Linked DNA regions of Rhinolophus ferrumequinum. The protein of the gene in region 1 interacts with the protein of each later gene in a pairwise test. Links are inferred from orthologs where the notes say so. Each region holds a gene or a part of one and is shown in the gene's direction. Other genes may lie near its edges.

Region 1 (9,726 bases):
ACCTGGCTATGCTATACGGTTATCACTTTTGTTAGAAGCACTCAGTCAGAAACAACAAAAGTTCACAGTTTTGGATAAAGCGTGTACTGGAAATTCATCTTTGCCTGTTAACTTTTCGTGTATTTCTCATGTCTTCATACCGCAGAAAGTATAAAGAGGGCCAGGCCCAGGACACTAGCCAGCAGAAGAGTATCAGCAGCTGCTTGAAGACATTATCGTAGGAGGCAGGATGCGGCCTCAGCACTCATGGTCGGTAGCAGCAGGGGTACCTGCCGTGGGCACACTGAGGGGGCGTCCTGCACGAAATGCTTCTAATCGCCTTTGGGAACTATATTCAATGCTTTCAAGGGAGCACAGCCGAATCAACAACTTAGGCGAAATCTACTGAAAAAAGGATGAGAAAACTACCTTTACGGAGTTTAAAATCTTTTATTAGGTTTATGGGAAACTAAAGTGTTAGTGGAGCAATGAAAGGACTCAGATGAAAACTATGTCGTATGAGAACAGGAAATGAGATATGACGGCAGGCAGATAAATTGTATGCAAACCATTTCTAAAACTCCTGGAAGTGGGAAGCCTTCATAAAGGAGCGTCCACCAGACTAAAATCCTATACAAAAGCCGAAAGGCCAGCAACAACACGTCTCTCAGCCCAAGTGAAACTGTAACTGGCGCTTCTGCTGCAAATGGGGTGACATTCCTTGAGAGCAGACATAACATGGCACGACAGCCAGTCTGCTGTCCCAAGCCCCAGTCTATAGGGGAACTTTCACATCAGTGGAATAAACTTGGAATATGGTTCCTTTTTCTATGATTGCAGACACTGATGATAAAATGCAAATTGGCCTTGTTCCTACTGAAGTATATTAGACCTTCAAGTGGAACATTTTAAAAGAAAAAACAAAACAAACACCCCCCCGAAAAAAAAACCCGAACAAAAAAATTTCAACCACCATTGCCTAGCAATTTAAAATAAATTAAAATGCCATCTTACATTCAGTTATATCTCCTTCATTTAGAAGGTAAAGAGGTCTAAATTCTTATTCTGAGGAAACCATGGAATTAGGTTGTCCCTTCCCTGTCTGCAGCAGCAGGGCAGGCCTGGAAGGGAAGGGAGATCCCCTGGTGGCCACGGTGAGTCATTTTCATGTTCTGACCAAATTCCCTCTCTCCAGGTTCCATCTCTCATATCTCTCTAACAGAGAGTGACTTTCCTCAATTTCTCTGTTCTCTTCCAGACCACCTACTGACACGACCCACCACCAGGGACATCCCGATATAAACACAAGTGGTAAACACAGCTGCATCATGGTGCTGGGTGGCAGTGATAGCCATATGGTCGGAGTAACTGTTGAAACACCATATTCCTATATAGACCCAACTTTATAGTTTTTCTTAAATAAAATATGCAAATAGCAAGTAAGTAGAAAACCACAGAGCTCTGCTTCGCTGTAAAATCAATTGGAGACATTTGACTACACTCTGAGGACTTTGCATACACAGAGCTTTGAAGCTGACATGGATGCTGAAGTCCACGTAAAGGCATTTGCTACGATCACACAATAGCAAGTTTAAGGTAAAAACAACATGATGCACAAGGCTTCCCTAACCAGTAGGCCGAATCCAAGAACTACTAAAACAGAGCTGTAATTGTTACAAACTTGGAGGATTTTAAATTGTCCTTGTGATCTTAAACCTACAAGACTCCAGTGAAGGATGACAAAATTGGGCGGTATTCGGTGAAACACCTCAGTCCTTCCTGCATTGTCGAGATTTACATATCAGATTTTGCTCACATTTTTGTGCCCGCAAGTGATCATTAGGCATATGTTCACTTAAGGGCACAAAATGTAAATGTAATATAATGTAACTACATCACTGGAAACACAGATCCCCCACAACTCTGCCACTATCATAATGTATTAGTCATTATTTTTTTAGTTTTGCATTCAACACTTATTTGTTGAGCATCTACCATGTATGAGACATGGGTGAACAATACAAAGTTCCCTTTCCTCAAGAAGCGCATATCCTAGTGGGAGCAGACCAAAAAAAAGTGAAGAAATAGATAATATATTTACAGGTTGTGGTTAGTGCTATTACTGGGTGGCTGATGTATTAAATACCTGCTATATAAGGCTCTACAATGATGAATAAGACAGGAAGCTGCCAGCAAGGGACTTATAATCTGAGTTAACAGAAGACCAAACAATTGTCAGTCTTTGGTAAAAAAGATTGCTAAGGTATGGCAAATTATAGTTGTTTTGAGGATTAGAGTCTATACAAATTATGGTCCATCACAAACTGATATGCCATGCACTATGAAACACTTAGGTGTTCATTTAATGTTAAAAAAAAAAATCTAAAGAACAGGAAACTGTGCCTGTCATAGTATTTCTTAAGACTAAAACCAAAGGAATTTAATGCGTCAAAGTTATTTTTTCTAGGTCAAACTAAATCTCATGCAGAATTGAAAACACAAAGCTATAATGATATTTAATTGCCTCAAAAGCTACTGCTGCAATTTTATGTGTAATTATTTTATTTGCTGCTAGTTTCTGCATATACTGTGCCAACATTTGCTAGCTGGCTTTAGAATACAGACCAGAAGTTTAAGAAAAGAAAGAAAACACCACCAGTAATTTTCATATTTGCGAAAGATTCTTTCCTCTTTTGAGTGTTGTTGTTTCAGTAATACAGTAGTTTTCTTCTCCTTCTCCTTCTTCTCCTTCTTTTTTTATTAAGGAAAGATCTGTGAGTCCTCAAGTGCCATTCATACCAGCTTATGGCAGGATCACCTAACTTGAGAAATGGCCTGTCACTGAGACCTTAAGGGGAGACAAGAAAAGGGTTTAGTTTCACTGTGAAGTGGGGTACTACTGCCAGGGATACAGAAAACTTAATTTCCTTTCAACCTCTGTTGCCAGGTCTCTGACTCATGTTTCCTGTGTGTTTTAAAATGGATGATCCTGGGACAGTTGAGAAATTGCGTGCTTGAGCAACATTTTGACTTGTCTTCCGATGTAAAGGACAAAAAAATAAAGTCATGCTAAGTCCCAGGACTCAAGGGGGCTGTACGAAGTATCAACTTCTTTTTCTTGGGCTGTATTTCTCTGATAGGTGTGCAAATTCAGCACATAAAAGATATTTGAGTAATAATAAGTATAGTTTGTTTTCAGTCTGTGATAATGACTATCTTGGCTGCATTCCTGCAGAAGCCATCCCTGAGACATGGTTTCAAGAGCTAGTATTTAACTTGGGAGGTGATACCAGGAAACACCAGGAGGAGAGTGGGGAAGCCAGGTGGGGAAAGGAAAGGAAGCCAATAAAAAATGTGCTATGAAGCCATTCCTGAAGATGCTGGAGCTGTGTCAAGGGCAGCTCTGGAATACATTGAATAACACGCATCTGAGCTACTCCAGGAGGGAGGCAGACTGGCTGGCTGAAGCCTGTATGTGGTCCCATGAACTGCCTAGTGCTTCCAGCTTGTCCTGGTTCCAGGAAGAAAGCCCAGAGGCACAAGTGGGCAGGCTTTCCCAGAAAGCAGAGGGTACAGCAGAGAAATATGGGTTAAGGTTGATGGCCTCTGCCACTGTCCATCCCTTGCATGCCATGTTGTGTTCAGTCTGTCCTGTCACTGACTTTTCACGCTGATGTCCAGTCATCCCCACATCAGGGGTATTGATAAGCAGAGCTATGGGTCCTGCCACTGTAGGTTCTGAGGTCATGATGATTTCCATTATTTCCTCCCTGATCACCCATTCTAGATTCCCTCACCCTCAAATAGCACTTTTGCTGGCCTGGGCTGCTTGATGAAGTGGCCCACAGCTTTGTCCCTGCGTCCCTCATCCCAGACATGGGTCTAGGCCCTGGTTGCCATGCCCCTGTCAGGCCAGGGTTGCTGCATTGCCCATTAACTGATATCACCAGGCATGAAAAAGATGTCCAGTGCATGTCCTGAGTTCCAGAAATAATTTTCCCTGCCCCTATTTCCTCCTGATAATAAGGGTCAGTTTTTTGTTGACTGAGGAACACAAATAAAGAGAGGCTTTAGATTTAGGTGAACTTTGTGTCCCCTGGCTCCTCCAGCAGAGCGTCCTCCCCTGCTGGAGGAGCCAGGACTCTATGAGGGACACAGCACCATACGATGGTGTTAGATTGAAAATACGTAGTACATACCATAGCACAGCATCCTAACCTGCAAAATGCCCTCCTCAAGCTGGAGCCTCAGTTGTGCCTTCAGAGGCCCTTCTAATGTTCTATCAGGATGGCAGCTTCTGGGTGTGTGATGTGTGGCACAATCAGTGATCTTGTGGGATAGTCCCCTTTGTCGGACCTCTCTCACTCTTTAGAGGTCCCTGATCCTAGGTGATATCCTGGGCAATTCCACGATGATAGATCAGACACTATGTGAGCAATTCAACAGTGATGCTTGCCAGGCCGTGCAGGTAGGGAAGATAAACCCAAACCCAGGATAAGTATCTGGGTCTGAGAAAACCAACTTGCCACCAAATGGCTGCCTGGTCTCTTCGAGGGAAGCACAATGCACATTGGCCCACTGTAGCTGAAGGGGGTGGTCGCACTGTCTAGATCACCTTGTTGGCAGGAGTACGTGTAGCTCCATCCCTGCCACCATGGCTTCCCCATTCATAGGCCCATTCTAAAACACTGAGGTGATCCAGGACAGAGGCTGGTCAAATCATCCTGGGTACAGGGGCTCCCTGCTGCAGATGCTCTCTGGTGGGCATTCATGTGACACATACAGATTGGCCAAACACAAAATTTCTGTGAGGTGCACATGTCAATTCTTGGGGTAAGCTGGCAAGGCCCCACCATGCTCTGCCTCTGCCCATGGCTACGCTCCTCTCCATTCAGCTGTAACCAGCCACGCCAACAGGTCTCCTACCTTTGGGAACTTCTAGACCGGAAGCAGACGGGATACTCTGGGTCCCATATAGTCCAAATGGCAGGCCAGCTCTCCCAAGAACTTTGCCCCCATGCTCAGCTCCACTACGATGGCAGCAAGCACAGCTCCCAGTATGCTTCAGGTCAGCCAGTACCAACCAGTCTCACAGATACTTGGGTGAATCCCTTCCACGCCTTGAAGGAGTATCTGAGCCCAATAGTTTGGGCCTCTCTTTATAATGTGGAGTGACTTTAGGGTGACCATACATCATCCAAACAGGGACACTTTTGACAGTAAAAGGGGCACTCTTTATTATTAAGCCAGGATACCAGAAAAGACTCAGTTATGTCACTGGGGTCACCCTAGTTAACTGCCGCCTTTTCCAGTTTAAGTGGCCAGTTCCAGGACAACTAGAAAAATCCCTCTGAAAACCCCATCACGTGAGCTTAAACTCCATTGTCCTCCATTATGCCATTTCTTTGCATAGACTCTCAACTCCTTTGCTCCCTGCTCCTTATGCCTTGTAAAACTCCAACCTTCGTTACACTAATTTTCAACTACCTACCTACACCAGAACAGCCAAAAATGGACAAGCATGATGACTGGCTCCATTTTAAACTTAGGACAGCATATCCCAAGAAGGCCTTCAGTCCTGCCTGGAAATCTTACCGCGTTTTCTTAGTAATATGCTTCACAAAATCCAATACTAAGATTTCACTCTTTCTCCTCAAACCTCCGTTGTCCCTCATCCTTCCTATTCCCGGATGACCTTGCTGCTTCTTTTGCTAACAAAATAGAAGCAACCAGAAGAGTATTTTCTCATCTTCGTCACCACCTTTTCCCATCCCCGCCATGGCCACGGTAATTTCTTGCAGACTGCTGCAGTCGCTGTGACATTTCTTTTCCTCTTGCCCCGGTACGGTTTACCCCCCGCCCCGCGAGATCCTGGAAGGAAGTGACTGCCGTTGGGTGTATCCAGCGCACCCGCACAGCGCCTAGGCCATAGAGGTGCTCACTGAGTTTGTTGAATTTAAACAATCAACCCGCAGGGTTTCCAGGCTGTAGCCTGGCATTCTCCTCCGTAACTTGCATGGCCCTGTGGCTTTTGTGTGTCACTTAGCCTCTCCGGGCCTCGGGGGGAGTCACGGCGTCCTGAGCCAGCGCAGAGCCCACCACAAACGCCCCGAGGGCCCTCCTCCGCTTCCTGGAAGGTATCTGAGGGCAAGGGTAAGAACAGCGCACCGCGCACCCAGCGACGTGCATCCTGCCCCCCTTCCCCCCCCCCACGCCGCCCGCCGCCCGCCGCCCGCCGCCCGCCGCCCGCCGCCCGCCGCCCGCCGCCCGCCGCCCGCCGCCCGCCGCCCGCCGCCCGCCGCCCGCCGCCCGCCGCCCGCCGCGCTCTCCTCCCCAGAGGGCGGCTCATCGAAAACTCGGCGCTCTACTACTCGGCGGATCGACGCCGTCGGCGCTCCCAGCGGGCGGAAGTGGCGGGCCGCGGCGGTGGGGCTGCGACCCGAGAGCTGCTCCGAGAGCGGCCGGAGCCCTATCGGAGCGGGCTGAGGGGCGGCAGGCCGGCTGCAGGTATGTGGTCCTGGAGGTCCCGGCGGGGGGCCCGCCCGGGGAGGCGCGGCCGGGCAGGGGGCGAGCCTCGCTCCTGGAGAGGCGGGCGGGAGTGGCGGTCCGCCGGCGCCCGTGGTCAGCCCCTCGTCCGGCTCTCCAGTCCCTGACCGTGAGGGGGAGGGAGCCGCGCCGTCGCGTCCGCGGTCCGCGCCCCTCGCGGGACCCGGGCCTCCGGGACGTTGGCCCTCGTTCGCCTCACCTGCTGCCTTGCGCGCCTGCGTCGTTGTCGCGGAGTTAGGTTTCAGAATTTGTTCGCAGAGCGAATGTGAGGCACGTTTTGCTTAGGTTTGCATCAGTTTAGAGCAATACCGAGCATCTTCTAGGTGTCAATCACTGTTGTAAGCATTTAACATTTACTGACTGGTTTAATCCCATTAGCGGTAGGTGCTGTTGCAGTATACCCATTTTCCAGAAGGGGGAACAAGCTCAGACTGGGGTCTGAGCTTGGTTAGGTAACTAGCCTGCAGTATAGTTAGTTACTCAGTGCCTGCACCCCCAAACCACTGTGCTGTCTCCAAGGTAAGCTCTCTCTTGCTTACCTTGGTATCGCAAGATTTAGTAAATAGACACTTTTTTAACTCCAATAAACAGTTCTTGAAAGAGCTTGTCTTAAAATGGAAATAAGCTATTTTTAATTGCTAAAGGTTAATCATACTAATGAGTATGAAAATAACATTTTCATTGTTTTTATGAATCCGAGTAAACCTACAAGGAAAACTTTAAAAAATACTTTAAAAATCAGCCACACCTTAATTAAATCGTTTGGGTGCACTATATTGAAATGCTAGTGCTCACTGAGGTGAACGTGGATCTGTGTCCTAATGAGTAAACAATACTTTATGTTATCATAGTCTGGCCAGGCTCTGTGTAAATGACTCTAATGGCAAAGGAACTGAAACCCAAAAGCTTCCCAGGGATTACCTGTATGTTAAAAGTTGACTCAAAGGGTGGCAATAGAAAGAGGATGATATGTGTTTAGTACTTAAATGTTCTATTTAAGTAGAAACTTACTAATTTTAAGCAGAGAAGCAGGATCCTCCAGTGTAACTTGGAACAACTATTGGAAGTTTCAGAAAATAATTTTTTTCTTTGTCAAGTATTTCCTGTACTGAATATCACTTTGAACTATTAATATCACCTCTCAAAAAGATGATTATTAACCTGCTAAGTTAAATTTTCATTCCATAGACATTTGAGAACCTGTTGTATATGAATCTTACGGGAAATGAAATTGGTACTCAAAAAATTTTGCAAAGGCAGCCTTCTAGTAAAGGACCGTGAACAGTTTCTAGTGTCATCCAGTAGCAGAATTAGGCCATATAGGAAATGCTAGTTACACAATTAATCTCTCAGTTACTCATGCTTTTTCGCCCATTCACCAGCTTACTTCTCATCTATCCTGGATTCCTGGTACAGCATCTAGCACATAGAGGAGCTTAAATATTTATTGAATGGATGAGTTATAGGCCAGTGTTGAGTAGAGAGGATTTTGCAATTGACTGGAAAGGGAAATAACATTGATGACTCTGCTAAGCAGTATGCTAGAAGTGTTGCTTGTTCTCAGACCCTGGGGAATGTGCCCATGGATCCCCTGGAGTGCCTGGTGAAATCCAGTGGTAGTAGTGTTCAGTTATAATCACGTGATTCAGTATATGTTTATGTTAATTTAAAAGAATTATTGATAAAACCACATAAAATTAAAGTAATTGTAGAGAACGGATGAATCTTGAAGCTGTGGACATACTCATATGGCATCCTTGGATTTCAGTTTGAAAATTAGTCAAAAGGTATTTTGGCTTAGTAGTCGAAACAACCATTTACTAGTCCATGCACTACCACCCACCTGCTTTGTAGCCTGAGCTGAGTTACTTAGCCTGTTGGGCTTCAGTTTTCTTTTCCCTGTAGTCAGAGAATATACAAAACTAGATTATTTCTAAGAGTTCTTCCTGCTTTGGAAATTTCCAACTCAGTGAATCCTATAACCACTTAGCACTTGTCTTATCCTTGTCGTAGGGGCTGTAACTATGACTGGTATTTACATGTCTGTCAAAAGACTAAGCTCTTGTTGGACAGGGTTTAGTCTCGGTCATTTTTGTATCTCCCAATTTTAGCATACAGCCTGACACACACATTAGAAATAAAACAATGTTAGCCTACATTCAGAAGGGGCATTTTTGCCCTCTCAAAGAATGGCTAAGAACTAAACTATAGTACTGAGTTTAAGTACAGCAGGAATTCAGAGAAGGGAAGCGTGTATTGGGGTGGAGTAATTGGGAGGCTTCATTGAAGTCAGCCTGTGATGCTGCCCTTCAGAGGGAAGGCAGGTGAACATCTGGGCAGCACACCAGGAACAAAGGCTCGCTGGCTGGTAAATGAGAGCATTTTGGATTATGGGGTGCCTTGAAGGTCAGGCACGGGAATTTGAAACCGATTTATTAGCCCTCCCTTTTTTTCCTGGAAAATTGTATTAGGTTTGCTAAAAATCTTCACGAACATTCTTTAACTTTTTGCTGGGGTGGGCCATACAGGTTGCTTTATTTATGGTTTTGGTTTCAGTAATTCCTCCTACTTCCTATTTCCCACTTACAATAACTCTTGGTTACAAACCGAGAGCCAAGAATGGAAAGAACAGTGGACATCAGGACTTAGGAAAACTGGGCTTTACTTCATCAGAAGGTAAACTGTCCCAAGGTAGAACCAGGCAGGCCCCTGGAATCTTACCTGGCACTGACTTAGCCTTGGTCATCACTATGCAACCCTGCATGCTTCTGCCTCTCTTGCTTGCTAGCTTTGCTGTGTTGGCAGGTTTGGCCCTTAGTTTCATCTGTAAGCTTTGATGAATTTTTTAAAGGCCTTTTCCACTTACAAAGTTCTGTGATTTTGGAGGGTATATGATTTTAACTTTTATTATATTATAGTTTTACTGAAAGGCACAACAAGGCAAAAAGCCAGGAATATTTGCTTTTAGTTTAATTTTAATGAAAGCCCCATGTGATTGACATGATGTGTATCTGGATAAATTGGGGTCTCAGCAGGAATCAGAATTCATGCCAGATGGTTCAAATAAAGAGATTTTAATAAAGGGACTACTTGCAGAGGTGTGGGCAGCATGAGGGAACAAACAAGGGATAGTGAAGCCCAAAGAGAAACTAACAACAACTGGAAGGGACAAAAGAAGAAGGCAGACCCTGCTGAGAGCTG
Region 2 (10,140 bases), on another chromosome or scaffold:
GCCCTGAGGCCCTGCGTCCGGCTCTGCTCAACGACCTGAGGCCCTGCGTCCGGCTCTGCTCAACGACCTGAGGCCCTGCGTCCGGCTCTGCTCAACTCCCTGAGGCCCTGCGTCCGGCTCTGCTCAATGACCTGAGGCCCTGCCTGCGTCCGGCTCTGCTCAACGACCTGAGGCCCTGCGTCCGGCTCTGCTCAACTCCCTGAGGCCCTGCGTCCGGCTCTGCTCAACTCCCTGAGGCCCTGCGTCTGGCTCTGCTCAACTCCCTGAGGCCCTGCGTCCGGCTCTGCTCAACGACCTGAGGCCCTGCCTGCGTCCGGCTCTGCTCAACTCCCTGAGGCCCTGCGTCCGGCTCTGCTCAACTACCTGAGGCCCTGCGTCCGGCTCTGCTCAACGACCTGAGGCCCTGCGTCCGGCTCTGCTCAACGACCTGAGGCCCTGCATCCGGCTCTGCTCAACTCCCTGAGGCCCTGCGTCCGGCTCTGCTCAACTCCCTGAGGCCCTGCGTCCGGCTCTGCTCAACGACCTGAGGCCCTGCCTGCGTCCGGCTCTGCTCAACTCCCTGAGGCCCTGCGTCCGGCTCTGCTCAACGACCTGAGGCCCTGCGTCCGGCTCTGCTCAACTACCTGAGGCCCTGCGTCCGGCTCTGCTCAACTCCCTGAGGCCCTGCGTCCGGCTCTGCTCAACGACCTGAGGCCCTGCGTCCTGCTCTGCTCAACTCCCTGAGGCCCTGCGTCCGGCTCTGCTCAACTCCCTGAGGCCCTGCGTCTGGCTCTGCTCAACTACCTGGACAGGAAATTGTTTCCTGTGGTTTACGACCCTGTGTGCCAAGGATGGATGTGTCACCTGCACAAGCTGTGGAAGGAGGTCTCATGCGCACCCCCTCCCCCATGCAGGACTGTGACCCTAGCCATCCCATTCTTCTGGAGCTTTCCCAGTGGGGGCCTGGCCTCCGTGGGGACCTGCAGAGAATGCAACTTTCCTATCCCTGGGGCTACATTAACCTCATTGCTGCTATTTTTGTTCCTGTTTGCCAAATTTCCTCTTGGCCATTGTAAAGAATTAAAACTCTACAGAAAAACGTATTCCAGGAAGGGGAATTGTTCCTGACACCCACCCCAGAGAACTGCATCTTAATATTTTGCTGGACTTGCTTCAGGAAGAGGAACTCTGGGTTGGGGTGTGACTGCAGATAAGTGTTGCTTTCTTTTCAAAGCAAGGGTGTCCCTGCTCAGGGGCTCCTTATTCCCCATGGGCCACCCCATATTCCTCAGACCCTCAACCCTTTGGCCTGGCCCTGCTCTTGGGAGTAGACGCAAGGGAAGAGATGAAGCTGTCCATTAAAAAAGAAAACATTTTAAAAAGTGTTGCTAATAAAAAAAAATCACTGGGGAAGGGTTTGACCTTTGTGGGTGGTGGGGGCAGTGACAGAGGCTGCATGGGGGTTGGCTGGGGGCCAGCCTCAGGCCCAGGAGGGCACTGCCCCTCCCCAGCTGCTGGGGCAGCGATGGGTAAGAGGGGCTTGGGCTTGGGGAGGGGGAGAGAGGGGACAGAGAAGGGCTGAAATGCAGCCCCGCCCCCCACCCTGGAGAGCTGGAACCAGCCTTAAGCACTGGAGGTGGAGGTGAGTAAAGGGCTTGGAGAGCACTGGACCCCCACAGAGGTCACAGGAATGATCTAGCTGCACACGGCCAAGGTCCAGGGTGAGCCAGGCCTGAGTCTGACCTCGGGCTCTCCTTCCTTGTCCTCTGTGACCTGTTGGCCCCTGAGGCCCAGGGTCCTCAGCTGTCAAGTGAGGAATAGCAGCTGAGGGACTGAGTGAGGGGTCATGAGAGCAAATGGCAAATGTCTAACTGAGCCAGACATGGAGGGATTCAGCCAACAGTTTCCTCATCCCTCTTTGTCTGTCTGTCTGCCCAGAACTGGCTGACTCCGTGGGTCATATGCATTTGCAGATAAGGGAACACCTAGATCTGGCGGGGTGTCATCAGCGTGCACTGGATGGGTGAGATGCAAACACAGTGAGAACCACCCTTCCCTGGGTGGGTCCCCAGGGAGCCCAGGAGTCACCACGGCGGAAGCAGCTGGCACGAAGACCTTAGGAAGAGACCGGGAACACATTAGCTGGGACAGGGAGGGGCTCCCGGGGTCTTTTCATTCTGTCAGATAGGCCTGGCTTCGTGGGAGACTGGATAATATTTCATGTTGGAGAGATCTCAGCACACAGAATCCAGATGCTCAAATCTTGTTTTATCTCACGATCAGTGCTTTGCAGCTGTCACCCTGCGGGGGCTTTTATCTGGTTACCTGGAGGTCAGATCCTGGGCAGCTGTTTACGGTGCTCTTTGGAAGCAAGGCACACGTGTCTCCACGCAGATGGAAGAAAGGGGCGAACGTGTGCCGGCAGGTAGTGGGGATTAGCGGTAATGATGAAGACTTTTTATTACTCAATGACAAGACGACTTGACTTCATTTCTGGGAGATAATTCTTTGTAAACTACGATGGCAGAAAGATAACGCCAGCGAATTCATAATTTAAAATAGAATCATTTTTTTTCTAATGTGTTTCCCAAGCAGATTAATTTCTTTTGGAAGATGAAAACTCCTCCTCTAGCTAATTACTTGGGTCTCTGCCTCTCCAGCAGAGCAATTCCCAGGAACATCTGGTTAGTTCCTACAGGCTGGCTGGGGCATTAGAAACATAGAAAGACGGTAATGAGGGAATAGAAGCTCTCAACACCTTTTCCGAAGGAGGGATAAATCAGTCCGTCCCAGCAGTGCGAATGCAAGCTCTCGGTTCCTTCCTCTAAGCACTTCCCTTGGTCTAGGACTTTTGGTTTTGATCACCTGGATGATAAAAACAGGCAGGAAGGAGTGGGCATCCATTGAGCTGTCATTAGTCACTTATTCCTGCGTCTGAGCCCCACTACTGAGAATAGGATGAGATGGCAGGAAGTGGGGAGAGAGCATTTGGACACTGAGGGCTGGAGAAGCACAGAATAGACAGATAGGCATAGTACTGAAGATGAACTCCATCCAGTGTTGCTGTTTACAGTAGATCCTTTCCGTAACCTTCGGGAGGCAAGAATGGCTTTCTTTTTCCCTCTACAAATTGGCAGCCCCCTTTATTTTCTAACTGAGGTGGTCACCAACTATTGAATGCCGACAGGGATGCTGAGGCTTGTCAGACTCTTTCTAACAATGCCACCTATTTATATAATACTGCCAGCTAATGGGAGCATGTCTCTAATGCTGGCTGCTGGCTGATGTTCTAGGAAATTGGTCAGCTGTCCTCTATGCACCCTTCCCCATTCCTGCCTGGCTTCTGAGTCCCCACCTCTCTGGGATCAAAGCACCTGGGGGGGGTGCCCAAATTCCAGCCTTGCCTCTGCACCCCTCACTCTGCAATCTCCCTATGCCTGATTACCCTTCTAGTCCTGTGGACCCCACTTTGCTTGGACTCCCTGGAATAGCTTCCTAATCTCCATTTCCACATCTACCCCTTATAGGCCATTCGCCACACCAGAGTGGTCTTTAAACAGCCAGAGTGGTCTGGCTTTTTAAAACCTAGGTTTTTTAAAACCTAACTCAAAGCATGTCACTATCCTGGCTCAAATGCCCCTAGTCGCTTCACACTTGGAATAAATGCCAGTCTCCTTATCATAACCTAGAAGTCCCCGCCCACATAATCTGGCTCTCACTTCTCTCCCCACCCTTGGGTGGCTTCACTTTCGTAATGACTGGGCATTTCATCCAGACCTCCTGTCTACTCTCAAGAGTACCTAACTTTTTTCTGTCTTAGGAGTTGGCACATGCTTATTACTCCGCTGGAAATATTCTCCTCTCCCTCCCTTCACTGCCAACTTTTTCCAGGATTGGTTTATTTTCATCCTTCAAGTCCTAACTTAAATGTCACCTCCTAAGAGAGGCCTTTTTGGCCACCCAGTCTCAGGTAATTTGCAATGACACAATTTGTAAGTATCGAGTTGCTTGTCTGTTTCCTGGTTCCTTATCTGTGCTTGTCTGAGTTGTTCACCACTGTGTCCCCAGCTTGGTACACTGCAGGGCCTTGTATCAGTCAGAGAAGGCTAAGCTATGTGGCAGTAACAAACAACTTCCAAATCTTAGTACCTTCAAACCACAAAGGCTTCTCAATCATGCCAAATGTCCATCACAGGATGGTGGGGGCAGGGAGGGGTTGCTTATTGTAGGGTCCCAGGCTGATGGAGCAGCCACACCCCCAAACATTCCCAGTGGCCATACCAGAGCTTTGGAGGGCCTTGCAATGGTAAATAAAGTCTCCAGTCCAAAACTGATGTATGTCACTGCCACTCACAAGTCATTGGTTAGATCCAGTCACATAACCTCACAGGGAGCTAGGAGGTTCAATCCTACTCAGCGCCCAGGACCCTGATCCTGCTCCGTTAACTGCTTGTGTCACTTGGGGGGGCTGCTGCAGGCAGCTCTCCTGTCTAAACTTGCATTTATAAGACGGTACCAGCACAGCAGGTCCTTTCTGCCAGGCTGCACACAGCATTGGTTGCACTGATACTGTCACACACCTGTAGATAAAATGGGCCTTGGAAGGAAACGCAGCTTCTAGTTTGGATTAACAAGCTTGAGCGTACATCTTGGTTTCTGGTGGCAATCACAATATAAGCTAACATTTGTTGAGCACTCACAAAGTTCCTAGCACTGCACTGAGAGCTTTACATGTAATCTCATTTAAATCTTCACACCTGGGTGGTCAGTTGCTCAGTGGTTAGAGCACATGCTCATAACAGCAAGGTCGCCAGTTCGGTTCCCACATGGGCCAGTGAGGCTCGACCCCCGCCCCCAACACACACACAACGACTTGACATGGAGCTGATGGGTCCTGGAAAAACACTGTTCCCAATATTCCCCATTAAAAAAAAATCTTCAGACCTACAGTGTGGAGGTGCCACTATTGGGGGGGAGGGGGTGACTGAGGTCTGCAGAGGTTAAGCAATTTCTTAATTAAGATAATTGCTATTTATATGATAGAGCCCTCCTTTGAACCCATGCTTCCTGATTCCAAACCTGTGCACTTAATCCTTAGTCTTGGGTCTGAATTCTCTTCTAGGTTATAAATACCAGAGAGCTTCCTTTTTGAGAAACCTCCTCCTACTTCTCTCCCTTATATTATTAGTAACTAGCAGAATTTCTGTCCTATAATTAGTGTGCAATAAAAGTCTTTAATGTATATGAAAAGGGTAAAAACAGAACACTTAAGATTGTAGACTAAGACTAGCATATCCTGGTTACATGTTTTTTTTGTTAAGCCTGTTAAGACTAAGTTAAATCTGTGCTTTTTGATAAAGCTGTTGGTGGAAGCCCTGGATCTGTTAGTTGCTTATACATAGCAATCTAATCAAGGCACAAAGCCTCTCATATAATACACATGTATCCTAATGTGTACTTATCAACAACGAAAGAATTAATTACATGGTGCTAGCTGCTGTGAGTATCAAATTGAACAAGCACTACTTTCCTTCCCCAGAAATTATAGAGGTGGATATTTAAACAAGGAATTGTAATACACTGTGTCCCGCTGTGAGGTTTGCGGAGGGGTCAGATGGGCCAAAATCCTGAGAAGGCGGAGGGGGGTGGGAGGATTCAGCTCTAGGAAGGGGAGGTTAGTTAGGAAAATCAACCCGAGGTCAAACCCTATATGGACAGAAAATGAAAAGTTTCCGTGCCTTGGAGGCCGATGGCCGGCGGGGGGCAGGTTGTGAGAGAAAAACCTGTCGGGCATGAGCTTGCCCACTGCACTTCCTGCCTCAAGGCTACCGCTGGGGTTAGAATTCTTGACCTTGTAATCTGGGTCCAGTTATTGCTAGAATTGATCAAGTAACTCCACTGCTGCTAATGAGACGTCATTAGCCAAGCGAGTAGTGGCGGCAGGCGGAGGTCGCGCCACAGGAGACCCTGGCCGGCGTCCCACGGGCCACCTGAACCCTTGGACACCCGCGCGCCGCATCGTCATTTTCCTTGCTTTTCTGTCTCAGGTCAGTCCTTCCCTTTTACTTTCCACTACTTTGGTCTCGCCCTCATCTAAATTCACGACGGACGCGCCCTCCGCCGCCCACGCCCAGGGACCCCAGACCTGGCTCCTCCACTACAGCAGTGGTCACGTGCAACTCGTCCGGCGGTGGAAAGTAGGCACTGGAGGGGGGCGGTGTAGGCGTGCCGAGCCCGCCCCTCCCGCCTGAGGTGGCTTATCATTGGTTAAGCCTTCTCCCCAGCCTCCTGAGGCTTGGAAATTCTGCTTCGGATTGGGTAATAGGCTCTCAGTGGGCGTGGCCACCCAGGACAGGCACGGAAGCGAGGGCGCGCTCTCGAGAGGTGGGGTTGCCTAGGCGACGCCGGGGGCGCGCTCGGGGGTGGGGAAGCTAGCCCAGACTACTCGATGACAAATCGCCTGGGGACTGCTGGGGTCCGGCCCCTGGAGGAGGCAAAGGAGAGGGCGGGGCGGGTTTAAGATCGGCGGGCCGGCTGCGGACGGCCGAGGCTGCGCCGGACGGAGCCCAGGTAAGAATGTCCGCGCGCGGGCAGGAGCCCTCGGAGCGGGGTGGGGCGCGGGCTGGGGAAGTGGGGTGCGTCGCCCTGAGCTTGGTGTCCGTCTGACCCCGCGCTCTCCGCTCTGGGCTGTGGCCGGCGGTCGAATACCTCGCGCCGCGAGGCCGGCGGAGGGCGACGCTGGAGCAGCGGCCCCGGGAGGTACCCGGGAGAAAGCCTCCGGGCCTCCCAGACCGGTCTGGAGCTGAGGAACTGGGGGCGGCGCCCCAGCCTCTCCCTTTTCGCCGCTCCTTCCCTTTTCCCACAAATGGCCTCTGCTTCCACTTCCTGTTCACTTCCTCAGCCCCTTAGTTGGCGCTCTGGGCAGGATAAAAGCTAAAGTGTTGCAAAAACTTATTAGTACCTTAAAAACTTGGACTGAACAGGGGACGTGTTCCAAAAGTTGCTGAGTTGCTGGGTCTGTTTTTGGTTCTGTCTTGCACATGAGCATAAAGTTGTTTCTTTGCGACCCCTCCCCCCAATTTCCTTATGATACATACTAGCACTGAACGTGGCTTCTAATAGGAATCACCATGGACTTGAACTGTTTGCCTGGACCAGGGTTCAGCACCTCTCTTCTTGCCCTTTTATAGGTATATAAATAAGGTTATCCACGGTTGTTTCAGAACTGCTAGTGGCAGAGGTAGCAGCAGCGCCCAGACTACTTGTTTAAAAGTGTCCCTCTCTTTGCTAATTTTTGGGTGAATACTGGAAACGTAACTTTGATGTTGTTATCGTTGAGTTTCTGGGGAGAAGGTCTTGTGTTGTTGCTGATTTAGAATTGCCAATGGAAGAGGCTTGGCTGATTGTTCATTTGAGCCATCTGTGACTTGATTTGAACCCTTGTAGAACAGTGAACTTCCTGCTTTGTCCTAGTTTCCTAACCTCATTTCTTTTTGTTAAGTTTTGGAGATGGATAGTGGGCACTGATTATCAGAGAGGACAGCATACCTTTCAGGTGCATAAATGACCCATGTTCTAAGCAGAGCAGTAAGGTTCTTGGATGTTAAAGCTCGAAACAAGGTCATGTCTCTTAGACCTGGAACCAATAGAATATCGAAGTTCCAGAAATGGGACGGCTGTGGAAGGTAGCATTGAATATTGGGAAGAACAGGAGGGCAGGGTGTGAAGACCTAGGTTTGATGCTGGTTCTGAAACTTGATTATCTTGAGTATGACTTTTCACCTCTCTGTGCTGCAGAATCCACAGCTGTAAAAAGGTGATATTTATCCTACTTGTGGGCTTAAAGGAGCCAGGAATGTTTAAGGCGTTCTTTGTGGTAGTGGGGGTGGGATGGAGGTGGGGGTGGGATGGAGATAGGGGTGGGAATGAGGCCAGGGGTACACATCCCCTCTGTGGTTTTAGTCGAGTCAGTGAGTCGACTTTCCTCTGGCCACATTTGGGTCTTTCCTTCTGTGGGGACAAAGCTCTGGAGAGCAGTTTCCAGGCTCTCGGCCTTACATGGAGGGGTGCTGGCTCGGGTAGTAGATGACCGTCGGCTGTGGCTAGTTGACCGTCAGCTGTAGCCGGTTGGGGTTAGCCAGTTGGCCACCGATATAACTGCCGCTGCTTTGGGGAGGGGGAGTCGGTCGGTTGGCAGAAAAGCGGACAGCAGGTCGCACGTGTGAATCCAGCCTCCGGTGAAACCATAGTGGTATGACTCCCCTACCTATGGCTCCGTGGGGGTTCCTTTTTGGCCTAGCCACATCCTGCGTTCTTATGTGGGGAGTGGGAGCAGAGACCCCGCAGGCCGCCCCGTAGGCCGCCCCGCATGACACCTTCCTTTTCTGTTCACACTATTTCTCATTGGAAAAGTAGGTACTCTTGTCTGAGATCTCAGCAAGATTTTCCTATGCCTGAGGAGTAGAACCTTTCCCAGGATTTTGTCTGGAAGAAGTGGGGGTATAGTTATTAGATATCTTTTGGGAATGTGGGACCTAAACACTCAAAGACAGGAAAACACGAATTAGAGCCTTAAATGGGATCTAAATGGATCTTGGTAGAAGGTGGAAGAAGTAGAAAAGTTCTAAATACTTGCCTTCATTCTTTAAGGTTCTTGCCTTGGCTGAAGATGGCTTGAGACTGGAAATTTTTAAACCAGAGTTGAGATAATCCTTTGTGCCACATCACTCAATCCCACAATACCTCTTTGAATTCAGTTACTAAATTCTTATCCAGTCGTAGAATTTGGAAACATTGTTGGAAACCTTTTTTGAAAGCTCAATTTGGAGATAATATAATAACCTAGAACTGCAGTGTTGGAAGAGATCTTGGTGAACTCTAAGGTTTCCAATGTAACTTCTCTCAAGATGATGTACAAGAGTCCTGCTTTTCATTGGCTCCAAGTACTTCTAAACAAACAGCCTCTGCTCTTAGATATGCAAGACACTTGGATTTATTTTTTAAAGTGAGTTCATGTGGTTGAGAAGTCTGACTCAAAGAGAGCGAAGTACCACAGAAAATGGAACTCACCTGGAGTGGGGGTGGGCTGGGTAAGGAAGAGGAGGGAAACGAATGTTACTGAGCATCAGCGATCTGCTTGGCACAGACTCACAGATCTAACTAATACCGGATAAGTATCTGGTCTTGGAGATAATATTTGACCTTTAGGTCCTCAGTTCTTTTGGTACCTAGGAATACAAGAGTGGATATATCTATATCTATATCTATCATCTATATCTACCTATATCTATATCTATATCGTTTATCTATATCATCTGTATCTATATCTATATCTATATCATCTTCTTAGATATTCCAAAAGTAGAGGGACCAGTGGGCAAGATGTGAGAGTGGAAAGAAAGATGAAGAGAGTGTGGAAGCTGAGTGTCAATACCAGACATTATGGTATGTGGTTACCACAGCAATTCCAAAATGCTGAGAGAGAGAGAGAGAGAGAAAGGAAGAGGACAATCAACGTGGAAACTGTGGTATCTTGGTATCTCATCTTGGAAGTGACATACCATCACTTTTACCAGCTCATAGACCAAACAACGTGGGAGGGGACTGACGACAAGAGGAGAGCTTGAGGACCATTGGCATTCTTACAGGCCAACTACCACAATTTCTTTTTTAAAGTTTAGACCCAACATTATTGAGAAAAATCTTTGTTTCATCAACTTACTAAAGTATGTACTGTAGGAGATCAAAATGCAACTGGAGTTTTTACTATTCTAGAAACTTTTAATATTATGCTTGAAACTTCATGTTCTTTCTTCTGGTTCTTTATTGTCAGATGCTATAATTAATTAGCCAAATATGCTGTAGCTTTGGAAATTAGAAATTTAAATCTTGCTGGTCCCTACACCAAATGGAACAGCTGAGTTGTTTTTTTTTTTAATCCTAAAACAAATTGGTAACAATTATTGCCAAAATGATCTCCTTGATGAACAGCTTAAAATTAGTCATTAATCTGTGTATTTTAAAAAATAAAACTCACTGGCAAAGTAGCTGAAAAATCCTAGATCCTGCTGCCCGCCCCTAGTTATTTTAAATCTTTGGACAATATTTATTTGTCTTGCTATTTCTTCATTTTCCTTTTGAAACTCTGACACATTTTAATTA
Region 3 (10,438 bases), on another chromosome or scaffold:
ATCATCTAATGCTCTACCAAAAAAATCCTACTAAAAGAAAACATTACTAAGAATAAAAGTGATTGCCAGGGGCTGGGGGAGGGGGAAATGGGGAGTTATTGTTTAATGGGTAAAGAGTTTCAGTTTTGCAAAATGAAAAGAGTTACGGAGATGAATGGTGGTGATGGTTGCACAACAAAATGAATGTGCTTTATACCACTGAACTGCACCCTTAAAAACAGTGAAGACGGTAAATTTTATGTTAGGTGTATTTTACAACAAAAAAAAAATGGGAAAAAAGAAATCACCATTGAAAACGTTAAGAAAATGAATAACCCATTGTACTTTCAAATTTCAAGTTCTTAAACTTTACCCCACACTTAAACAAATAACTAGGCAAATAAAAACCATAAGCTGTCCTGAAAATTAATACTGATACGAATATTAACCCAAGTAAAAATACTTGTAATTCTCCACCAGTTCAGATATTGACAAGCCCCATTTACGTTTCACTTTTAAGAAAACAAAGACAATTTCATAGACATCCGTAGATTCCAGAAACACATCTTTTATTTCAGCCGTGCTGATGGAAATTTATTCCAGGCACTCTAATTTTTTATCGATGGCTAGTTCTAATATCAAGTTTTTGGACATTGCTCTAATATAACCGTTCCAGGCTGAACAATTTACTGCAAACCACTTTTACTGAATTTCTACTAATAATTGTGCTTCCTAATTCATGGTCTAGCTATCTCTTTTTTGCTTCCTTCCAAGACTGAATATTTTGCCTGAAAGATTGAAGATTCTGTGGAAAAATAGATAACGAGCTTATTACAGAAGTACCAGGTTTTGTTTACATTTCTAAGGGAACAACAGTCATGGTGACTCATTTCATGCCTCTCCTAGGAAGTCCTTCATCCTCAACGACCTACATTAACAGCAAAAATTAATCATCTACACTCCATGTCACTAAATAACGATAACAACATCAACAGCCTTCTCTTTCTACAGTTTAAGTGCTGCTTACCAGAAAGTTACTTATACGGACTGTTGTTTAAACACTGTTACTTAATATCTGTGAAAATATATCTTCCCACCGAATTTTAGCCATACAAATGGTTAAAAAAAAAATTATAACTCTTTGGGATAAAGGAGAAATATAAGTTTAAAGCAGAGTATTCAACATGAAATCTGATTTTCAGCAAAAATGAATATGGTCAAGTCTGTGTAGTTATTTATATTTATCTTTTTTTGTTTTTAAGAGGATAGCTTATTGAAAGCAAAGGGTCAGAGCTCCCGAACAGGAGGGGGTCCCGAATGGAGGTGCCCCTATATTTATCTTGATTTGCTTACACTTCTAGGGTACAGGTCTAGGCCTGCTGGTGGCATTGCTACTGAATTCTGCAAGGGGAGAGAAAAATCCTGTGTCTAGTGCTGGACACAAGAGTAGTAACAAAGCCACACTGAGAATCATTAACCTCTACTTCAAGCCAAAATATGTTTACTTTTGTTCATGGTGGCCAGTTCCCTGAAGAGATTCAGAATTAGGTCAGAGATGACCTCCGCACTTATGAGAGAATCTCTCCAAACGTTGATAGGGAGCTTAGCACTGTGCCTTTTATTTGTACGACACAATGACCCCACAATATGTACATTGCATAACGCAGCTGCATTAAAAAAACGTTTGAGATGCAATGTGATTCTGCAAGCCAACTTTAACCTTTGCCTTCGTTTGTACGTGTACAACTTATTGTGTTGTTCTAATGTGCATCTGTTATCGGTTAATATTTATTTTTAATATTTATTTAAGAGTGATGTAGATAATTACCATTCTAATTTAGTGACTCTCTGGCTTCCTTCTATAAAGTTGCAAAAAAATAAAAAGTATTATGTGGGGATATTTACATTTGTTTCTAATAAAACCTAAAACAAACACCAATTGCTTTATGCCCATAACAGTAGAAGCTCTTCTGTCATGCTGTCACTGCTACAGCAATTTATAGAGAAAGAATATGGAAAGTGGGTCACTGTGATTCTCACTGTTCTAAAAAACAAACAAACAACAACAAAAAAAACTTGATGTTCTTTGTTTTGATACTAATAGTCTGATAACATCTGAAAAGATTTTTCATGTCTTAGATAGGAATGTGCATAACTGAATTACAAGAAAACACTGCTTAAAAAATTTTAAAAAAGAAAAACAAACTAACTGATGTAATAAAAGTCCACATAATTAGGAATAAAGAAAAAGTAGAATTATATGAACCCATATGATTTCTTCAAACATATAAAGACCCTTGACCTCATACTCAAATTGAAACCAATCAGACTTAAATTAAGGGAGAGTTTTGACCACGGTCAAAGTAGGTTGTGTGAAAGCCCACTTCTGTGAGATCTATGGGGTTTTCTCACTAAACAAATACACAAAGCCAGGTGCGCTACCCGTCCATTGGTGCTTCATCAGGCAGAACCCTGGAGACAGTAGGACACTTCTTCCTTCCTGCTGGCTTTCAAGCTAAGGAAAATGGACTCCCTTTTTCCCTCAAGTTACCAAATGAGTGTGGTTACTCTGAGTGCTCTGCGATCATCAAGTTTCCACAAACTCCACACCTCTGCTTGATCGATATACTGTATTGAGTCATTTCTCTAAGGAAACATTAACTTCAGTAATCCTGCCAGTATTGTTAAATCATCAATATTCACCACTCTTGGCCATTTAGAAGAGCTTTTCCCTTGGAGCTTATTAACAATGGAAAAAATATTTCATGCTATCCGAATATGAGATTGCCTCATACATGATATATGTTAACATGTACAGCCTTCTGTCTATGAAAGGGAAACAGGACCTCAGGGCCTGAGTGACTATTATATGTTTTTTAAGGACATAAATCTATCCAGTTCACTCTTCTAAACTAAATGGCATGTAATAATAGCTACCATTTGAGTGCTTGCTATGTGCCAAGCGATGTGCCAAGGGCTTTATAAGAAATAGCAAATTGCATGAGAGTCCCAAAAGATGGGGATTATTTTTAATTTTAAAAATGAGGAAACTGGGGCTCAGAAGAGGTAAATAACTTGCCCTGTGGTCAATGAACCAATAAAGACCAGATTTAAACCCAGGTCTTCATGGCCCCAGTGGCCATGTACTTTCCACTATTTTAAGTTGCTTCCCAAGTCTATACGTGCAGATGACTGTGGTAAGATAAAGACATAGTCATTGAAATACTACTATGTGTGCCTCCTATTTGTCCTTAGGCTAAAGAATTAATTATTCTATGCCTCCATTTATTAGTCTTTAAAATGAGGATAATAAAGATTCCTGCCTTATGGGGTTGTTGTGAGGACTAAATTAGTCAATATAAAGTGCTTAGAATAGTACACTGAACATAATAAGAGCATTGGTATGAGTTCTAGGAACAGGGAATACACCAAAGAACAAAAAGACAAAAGTCCTTGCTCTCAAAAGCCATTCTAGAGAAAGGGAAAGAGCAAATATACTAACCAACAAACAAATAACATATACATCAGGATGTAATGTCATAGTATGTCAAGATGTAATAAGAAGCACGAAGAAAACAAAGCAAAAAAGAAAGATAAAGAATACTACCTTAAATAGGGCTATCATGAAAGACCTCAATGAGGTAACACGTGGGTGAAGGCTTGAAAGGGATGCAGTCATGAGCCATGCAGATATTTAATGAAAAATCATTCCAATCCAAGAATACTATGAAGGACTATATGCCACCAAATTCAATAACCTAGAAGAAATGGACAAGTTCTTAGAAACATACAGCCTTCCTAGGCTGAACCATGAAGAATTGGAAAATCTAAATAGACCGATCACCAGTAATGAAATTGAATCAGTCATCCAAATCCTTCCCAAAAGCAAAAGTCCAGGACCAGATGCCTTCACTAGAGAATTCTACCAAACCTTCAAAGAGGATCTAATACCAATCCTGCTCAAACTCTTCCAAAAAACTGAGAAAGAGAAAGTAGTCCCTAACTCATTTTATGAGACCAACATTACCCTGATACTAAAACCTGGTAAGGATAACACAAAAAAAGAAAACTACAGACCAATATCTCTGCTGAATACAGATGCAAACATCCTAAACAAAACTCTAGCAAATCGAATGCAGCAATACATTAAAAAGATTATTCATCACGACCAATTGGGGTTCATCCCAGGGGCACAAGGATGGTTCAACATACCAAAATCCATCAATGTGATACATCACATAAACAAAATAAAGTACAAAAATCATATGATTGTATTAATTGATGCAGAAAAAGCATTTGACAAGATACAACATCCATTTATGATTAAAACACTTAATAAGGTAGATATAGAAGGAAAATACCTTAACATAATAAAGGCCATATATGACAAGCCCTCTCAGCTAATCTCATAATTAACAGTGAAAAACTGAAATTCTTTGCTCTACGTTCAGGAACACGACAGGGCTGTCCCCTATCACCTCTGCTTTTCAACATAGTGTTAGAGGTCCTTGCCAGAGCAATCAGGCAAGAGAAAGAAATAAAAGGCATCCAAATTGGGAATGAAAAAGTTAAATTGTCACTCTTTGCAGATGACATGATGCTATATATAGAAAACCCTAAAGACTCCACCAAAAAGCTAGTAGAAACAATCAACGAATACAGTAAAGTTGCCAGCTACAAAATCAACGTACAAACTCCATTGTATTCCTATATACTAACAATGAAATCTCAGAAAAAGAAATACAAAAAACAATTCCTTTTGCAATTGCAGCAAAAAGAATAAAATACCTAGGAAGAAACTTAACAAAGGATGTGAAAGACCTATATGCTGAAAACTACAAGACATTTTTAAAAGACATTGAAGAAGACACAAAGAAATGGAAAGATATTCCGTGCTCATGGATTGGAAGAATCAACATAGTTAAAATAGCCATATTACCCAAAGCAATATACAGATTTAATGCAATCTCCATCAAAATCCCAATGGTATTTTGTAAAGAAGTAGAACAAAAAATCATCAGATTTGTTTGGAACCACAAAAGACCCCGAATAGCCAAAGCAATCTTAAGAAAAAAGAATAATACTGGAGGTATCACACTCCCTGACTTTAGCTTGTACTACAGGGCTACAATAATCAAAACAGCATGGTATTGGCAGAAAAACAGACACATAGACCAATGGAATAGAATTGAGAACCCAGAAATAAAACCACATAAATATGGACAGATAATTTTTGACAAAGAAGCAAAAAACATACAATGGAGAAAAGACAGACTCTTCAATAAATGGTGCAGGCAGAATTGGATAGCCACGTGCAAAAGAATGAAACTGTCACCATGTACCAAAATTAATTCAAAATGGATCAAAGACTTAAGCATAAGACCTGACACAATAAACTGCATAGAAGAAAACATAGGTACTAAACTTATGGACTTTGGGTTCAAAGAGCATTTTATGAATTTGACTCCAAATGCAAGGGAAGTAAAAGCTAAAATAAACGAATGGGACTATATGAAACTTAAAAGCTTCTGCACAGCAAAATAAACCATCGACAAAATAAAGAGGCAACCAACTGAATGGGAGAAGATTTTTGCAAACAGTGCCTCCGATAAGGGGCTAATATCCAAAATATACAAGGAACTCATGCAACTCAACAAAAAACAAACAAACAACCCAATTGAAAATTGGGCAGAGGACCTGAAGAGACATTTCTCCAAAGAGGACATACAAATGGCAAATAGACATATGAAAAAATGCTCAACAACACTAATCATCAGAGAAATGCAAATAAAAACCACAATGAGATATCACCTCACCCCAGTCAGAGTGACTACCATCAACAAGACAAATAGTAACAAGTGTTGGAGAGGCTGTGGAGAAAAAGGAACCCTCATACACTCTTGGTGGGAATGCAGACTGGTGCAGCCATTATGGAAGGTAGTGTGGAGGTTCCTCAAAAAATTACGAATAGAATTATCATATGACCCAGCAATCCCTCTCCTGGGTATCTATCCAAAAAATCTGAAAACATTTATCCATAAAGACACTTGTGCTCCAATGTTCATTGCAGCTTTGTTTACGGTGGCCAAGACATGGAAACAACCAAAATGTCCTTCGATAGATGAATGGATAAAGAAGTTGTGGTATATATATACACTGGAATACTATTTGGCTGTAAAAAAAGGTGAAATAGGACCATTTGTGACAACATGGATGGATCTTGAGAATATAATGCTAAGCGAAATAAGTCAGACAGAAAAAGCAGAGAACCATATGATTTCACTGATATATGGTATATGAACCAAAAACAACAAAAGAACAAGACAATCAAATGAGAAGAAAAAACTCATAGACACAGACCATAGTTTAGTGGTTACCAGAGGGAAAGGGGGAAGGGGGGGCGGGAGATGAGGGTAAAGGGGATCAAATATATGGTGATGGAAGGAGAACTGACTCTGGGTGGTGAACACACAATGGGATTTATAGATGATGTAAAACAGAATTGTACACCTGAAATCTTTGTAATTTTACTAATAATTGTCACCCCAAAGAACTTTAAAAAAAAAATGAAATGAAATAAATCTCCAGGTCCCAGGTCAGTCTCCAAGCGAGAGGCCCCGCCCCTGCCTGTCCTTGACACGCCCTCCAGCGAGACCTTGCCCCGCCTCCCCACGCCTATCACCATTCCACCGGATAGACTTCCGGCGCGGAGGTTTGTCACATGGCCGGATATGGGAAGTAGTGGTGGAACGGTTGCTTCCGGTTCACCGCTCCATTGAGGGGCACATCTTAGTATCGGTGGCCGCCCCGCCGCATCTGGTCTCTGTCTTGGAACAGCCGCCTCGGCCCAGCCTGGCTGGGTCGCGCCTTGCGGTAAGCCTTGGGCCGCGGCTGCCAGTAGTGCCGGCGGCGGCGGACAGACGAGCGGACTGGCGGGCGCCATGGTCTGAGGAGGCTCCTCAGTTCCCCTAGTGGCTCTTCTCCCGGGGTCTACCTCCCTCCGTTATCAGCCGTCCCTTCCTTTCCCCGCCTGTCTGGGTAAGGCGCAAAGCCCGCTCGTAGCACCTCAGCTCTTTGCTGTCCTGGGGCTTGGGAGAACAATCCTCACGTACCTCTTTATGGATCCGCCCATAGCAACCATGTTTTCTTTGGGCAAAACGGCCCTGATCATTTGCTCTTCGGCGTGGACCGGGAGAGGAGGGCGTGACAGTGCCTTCTCCTTTGTCCAAATCCACATTTCCTGCTAAATGTCTGGCGTACATTTCCCTGTGTCCGTGCACAGTTTTCTCTTCTGGATGACAGGGCTCCACGCGTTGAGACGTCTTGAGAGCATACGGGGCCCAATCCACATAGGTACTCACATGGACCAGCTACTTGTCATGCAATGTAAGGTCCGACTGAATGTAAGGAAACAGGAACCGACACAGAGGAAGCCGTGTGTGCCTGCCTCTGGAATGTGGTCAGACATGGATTCTTAAATCTGGAAGATAGGTTTAGAGGATCTCTAGTGACGTGTTCATTGACTTAAGAGAAAAGTACTCTAAAGCCTGTAGAGTTAATCACTGCACCCTTAAAATGTAAGTGCGGTGGGGGGTCTTCATGAACATGTCTGTCATATTCACCGCTGTAACTTAGAGCAGTGCCTCCCACTTAGTAGACATCAGTATTCACTGAATGAATGGGGGTCCTGTAGTGGCTCTCATTATGCCTAACTCCTTTATGAGGGATTCCCAGGCCTCCCTTTTCCCCACTTACTATACAATCAGTTGTACTTTTAACCAAGGAGGGATTGTGTGGTAAATGTTGACCACTAACAATCATTCATTTGACCAGTTTTTACTATTCAATTGAGGTTACCTCAAGAGGTATTTGTTAGGTACCTACTAAGAAAGAACATAAAACTATGCCCGAGTGTCTCTCTCTCCTCCTGGATTTCTCTCTCTCTGTCTCTCTCTTTCAAGAAAGTTCTCGAGATCCACAAACTTAGGATTTCATGAAGCAATTAGACAGCAAGTGCTTGATTGATTAGTTAATACAGTAAGTGTTATAGCAATTGAGAGGAGAGATCAATTTGGATGAAGATCTTTATTGAATCAACTTCATATAAACCATGAAGTGTAATTTGGGTTTGGATATGGAAAAGCACCTAAGCAAAGACTTAAATACCAGAATGAATGAGAGGGTTTGGAGTGGGAGGTTTGTATTTGGGAACTTGAGTGAAACACTGAGCATGTTGTGATGAAAGCTGTTTTAATATTACTTGTTTGTGGAGGGACTTGGAGTTGTGGAAGCTTGCAAAGAGATAATCAGATACTGTAGTGTTAAATATAGTTGATGTGAACCTGGGTTAGTGTGTTGGCAGTGGGAACAGAATGGAAGGACAACTTATGTGTAGATGAGGCGAAATCAACAGAATGTGGTAGCAAATTTCATGTTGTCAATGGAGGAGGAGAATCAAATATGACAGATTTTGAACCTGGACATTTGCTTACAGATGTGAGAGTGGGAAAGGGGGAATCTTAGAGAAGCAGCAGTTATCATGTTATTTGGTACTATCATTTTGGTTAATTTATTAAATGCCTGCTACATCTTTGCCAAATTAGAACTTTGCCAAGTTCTAATAATACAAAGATAAGTAATAATACAAAGATAAGTAAGCTCCTTGTTTGCCTACAAGGAGCTACTTTTCATACAACTAACTAGAATATATCACTTAAAAGTGGTATGTTAGCAAAGTAGAGAGGAAATGTTAGAGCAGTAGTAAGGGAATTATTGTTTTTGTGTGTGTGACGGCTTCACAGAAGAGATAACATTTTAGCAGGACTTTTGAGGGATGAGTTGGAATTTCCCAGGGAGTTAAGAATTCCAAGAAAAGGAAATTGCATGAACAAAACTCAGAGATAGGAAACTGACCAGTATCTTGTGTAGCTTGGGCATAGAATGGAGTAGAGCTTTTAACATAGTGTGTAGGTCGTAGAACATACTAAAGAATTAATAACAGGGATATTTTGTAATAGGCAGAATGGAGTGAAGATGTAGAGAGGGAGAGGAAAGCAATTGGGGAAAATTCTACTTCATGGCTTCTGTATTCTCTGCAGAGTAAATGGTGAAGTTCATTTGCAGAGAGGTAGGAGGTAGACACTGGAGTTGGGGGTTGAAAGAATAAGCATTTGCAACAACATTGATGGGGAGTAGGAAGAGGAATCATTGAAGGAAATGTTCAAGGATTGCTGAGCAACACTGAAAGTTTAGCTTTGACTGGTCTTAGACATTTGTAATGAATGCAGTGAAGAAGGACATATGGCCTTCTTAAACAGCATTCGTTAGCCCAAGAGAAGTGGAGAGTGGAAATTTGTAACAGGGAGAACTGGTCTACAAACAGAGCAAAATAATTGAAGGAGTAATAATAAAAATGTGGGTGTAGAGAAATGAACACTGCTTCCAGGCTAGGTTGGAAAAGAAATTAAGCTGGAGGCCAGATGGGCAAAGAGAATAGGAAGGAGAGGGAGGTCAGAGGACTAGAGGCTGAGATGCGGTGAAACAGGGAAGATCTGATTTTTGTGCGAAAATTTTTTGAGTTGGAACAGAGATCAACTTTTCACAGATTGAGAAAAATAGAGGAGATACCTAGTTTGCAAGTGTCATTTTGTTATAAAAATTCATTGTAAGTCATTTATTTAAAACTCATAATTTATTTTCCCATAGATATGGTGTTAGAAGTAGAATTTCCTAAGCGAGCTCACACATGAAATACTACATTTCCTTCGGAAAATAGTAATACACCCACACGCGTGCGCGTGCACACACACAGATTATGTATATATATAGATTGATATATATATATTCTATATATACAAGTAAGCTCCTTGTTTGCCTACAATTGAATATATATATTCTATATATATATCAATCTATATATTCTATATATATATTCAAAAAATAAAATTGAAAAGGGATTTTAAAAAATATTTAACTGAAGTTGGCATTTTAAAAAACATTGAATTATATGAGAAAAAGAAGTAGAAACCTATTTTTTATAACAGCTTTTTTGAAACATAATTCATATATCATAAAATTCACCCTTTTCAAGTATATAATTCAGTGTTTTTCAGTATATTCACAAGGTCATACAACCATCACTACTATCTAATTCCAGGACATTTTCATCACCCAAAAAAGAAACCCCACGCCCATTAGCAGTCTCTCTTCATTCCTCTTTGCCCCCAGCCTCTGGCAACCACAGATCTTTCTGTCTCTATGGATTTGTCTACTCTGGACATTTTATGTAAATAGAATCATAAAATATGTGGTCGTTTGTATTAGGTTGGTGCAAAAGTAATTGCGGTTTAAAAGGTTACAAATAATTACAAAAACCGCAATTACTTTTGCACCAACCTAATAACTGGCTTCTTTCACTTAGTATAATGTTTTCAGGATTCATCAGTGTTGTAGCATGTAT

Evidence for each region.
Region 2: the proteins of EXOC2 (region 1) and RALB interact in a two-hybrid assay, tested with the Homo sapiens proteins (2 studies listed by BioGRID). The link is inferred for Rhinolophus ferrumequinum from reciprocal best matches to the Homo sapiens genes EXOC2 and RALB.
Region 3: the proteins of EXOC2 (region 1) and EXOC1 interact in binary tests that used the Homo sapiens proteins (3 or more experiments, as listed by UniProt). The link is inferred for Rhinolophus ferrumequinum from reciprocal best matches to the Homo sapiens genes EXOC2 and EXOC1.

What each region holds. Positions count from the first base shown.
Region 1 is NC_046292.1:93,600,937-93,610,662, forward strand, and holds the start of EXOC2 (exocyst complex component 2), read left to right. Parts: upstream 1-5,863; 5' UTR 5,864-6,132; intron 6,133-6,334; exon of another isoform or gene 6,335-6,486; intron 6,487-9,726. UniProt on the Homo sapiens protein: Component of the exocyst complex involved in the docking of exocytic vesicles with fusion sites on the plasma membrane.
Region 2 is NC_046291.1:91,168,949-91,179,088, forward strand, and holds the start of RALB (ras-related protein Ral-B), read left to right. Parts: upstream 1-6,402; 5' UTR 6,403-6,549; intron 6,550-10,140. UniProt on the Homo sapiens protein: Multifunctional GTPase involved in a variety of cellular processes including gene expression, cell migration, cell proliferation, oncogenic transformation and membrane trafficking.
Region 3 is NC_046288.1:17,843,946-17,854,383, forward strand, and holds the start of EXOC1 (exocyst complex component 1), read left to right. Parts: upstream 1-6,714; 5' UTR 6,715-7,017; intron 7,018-10,438.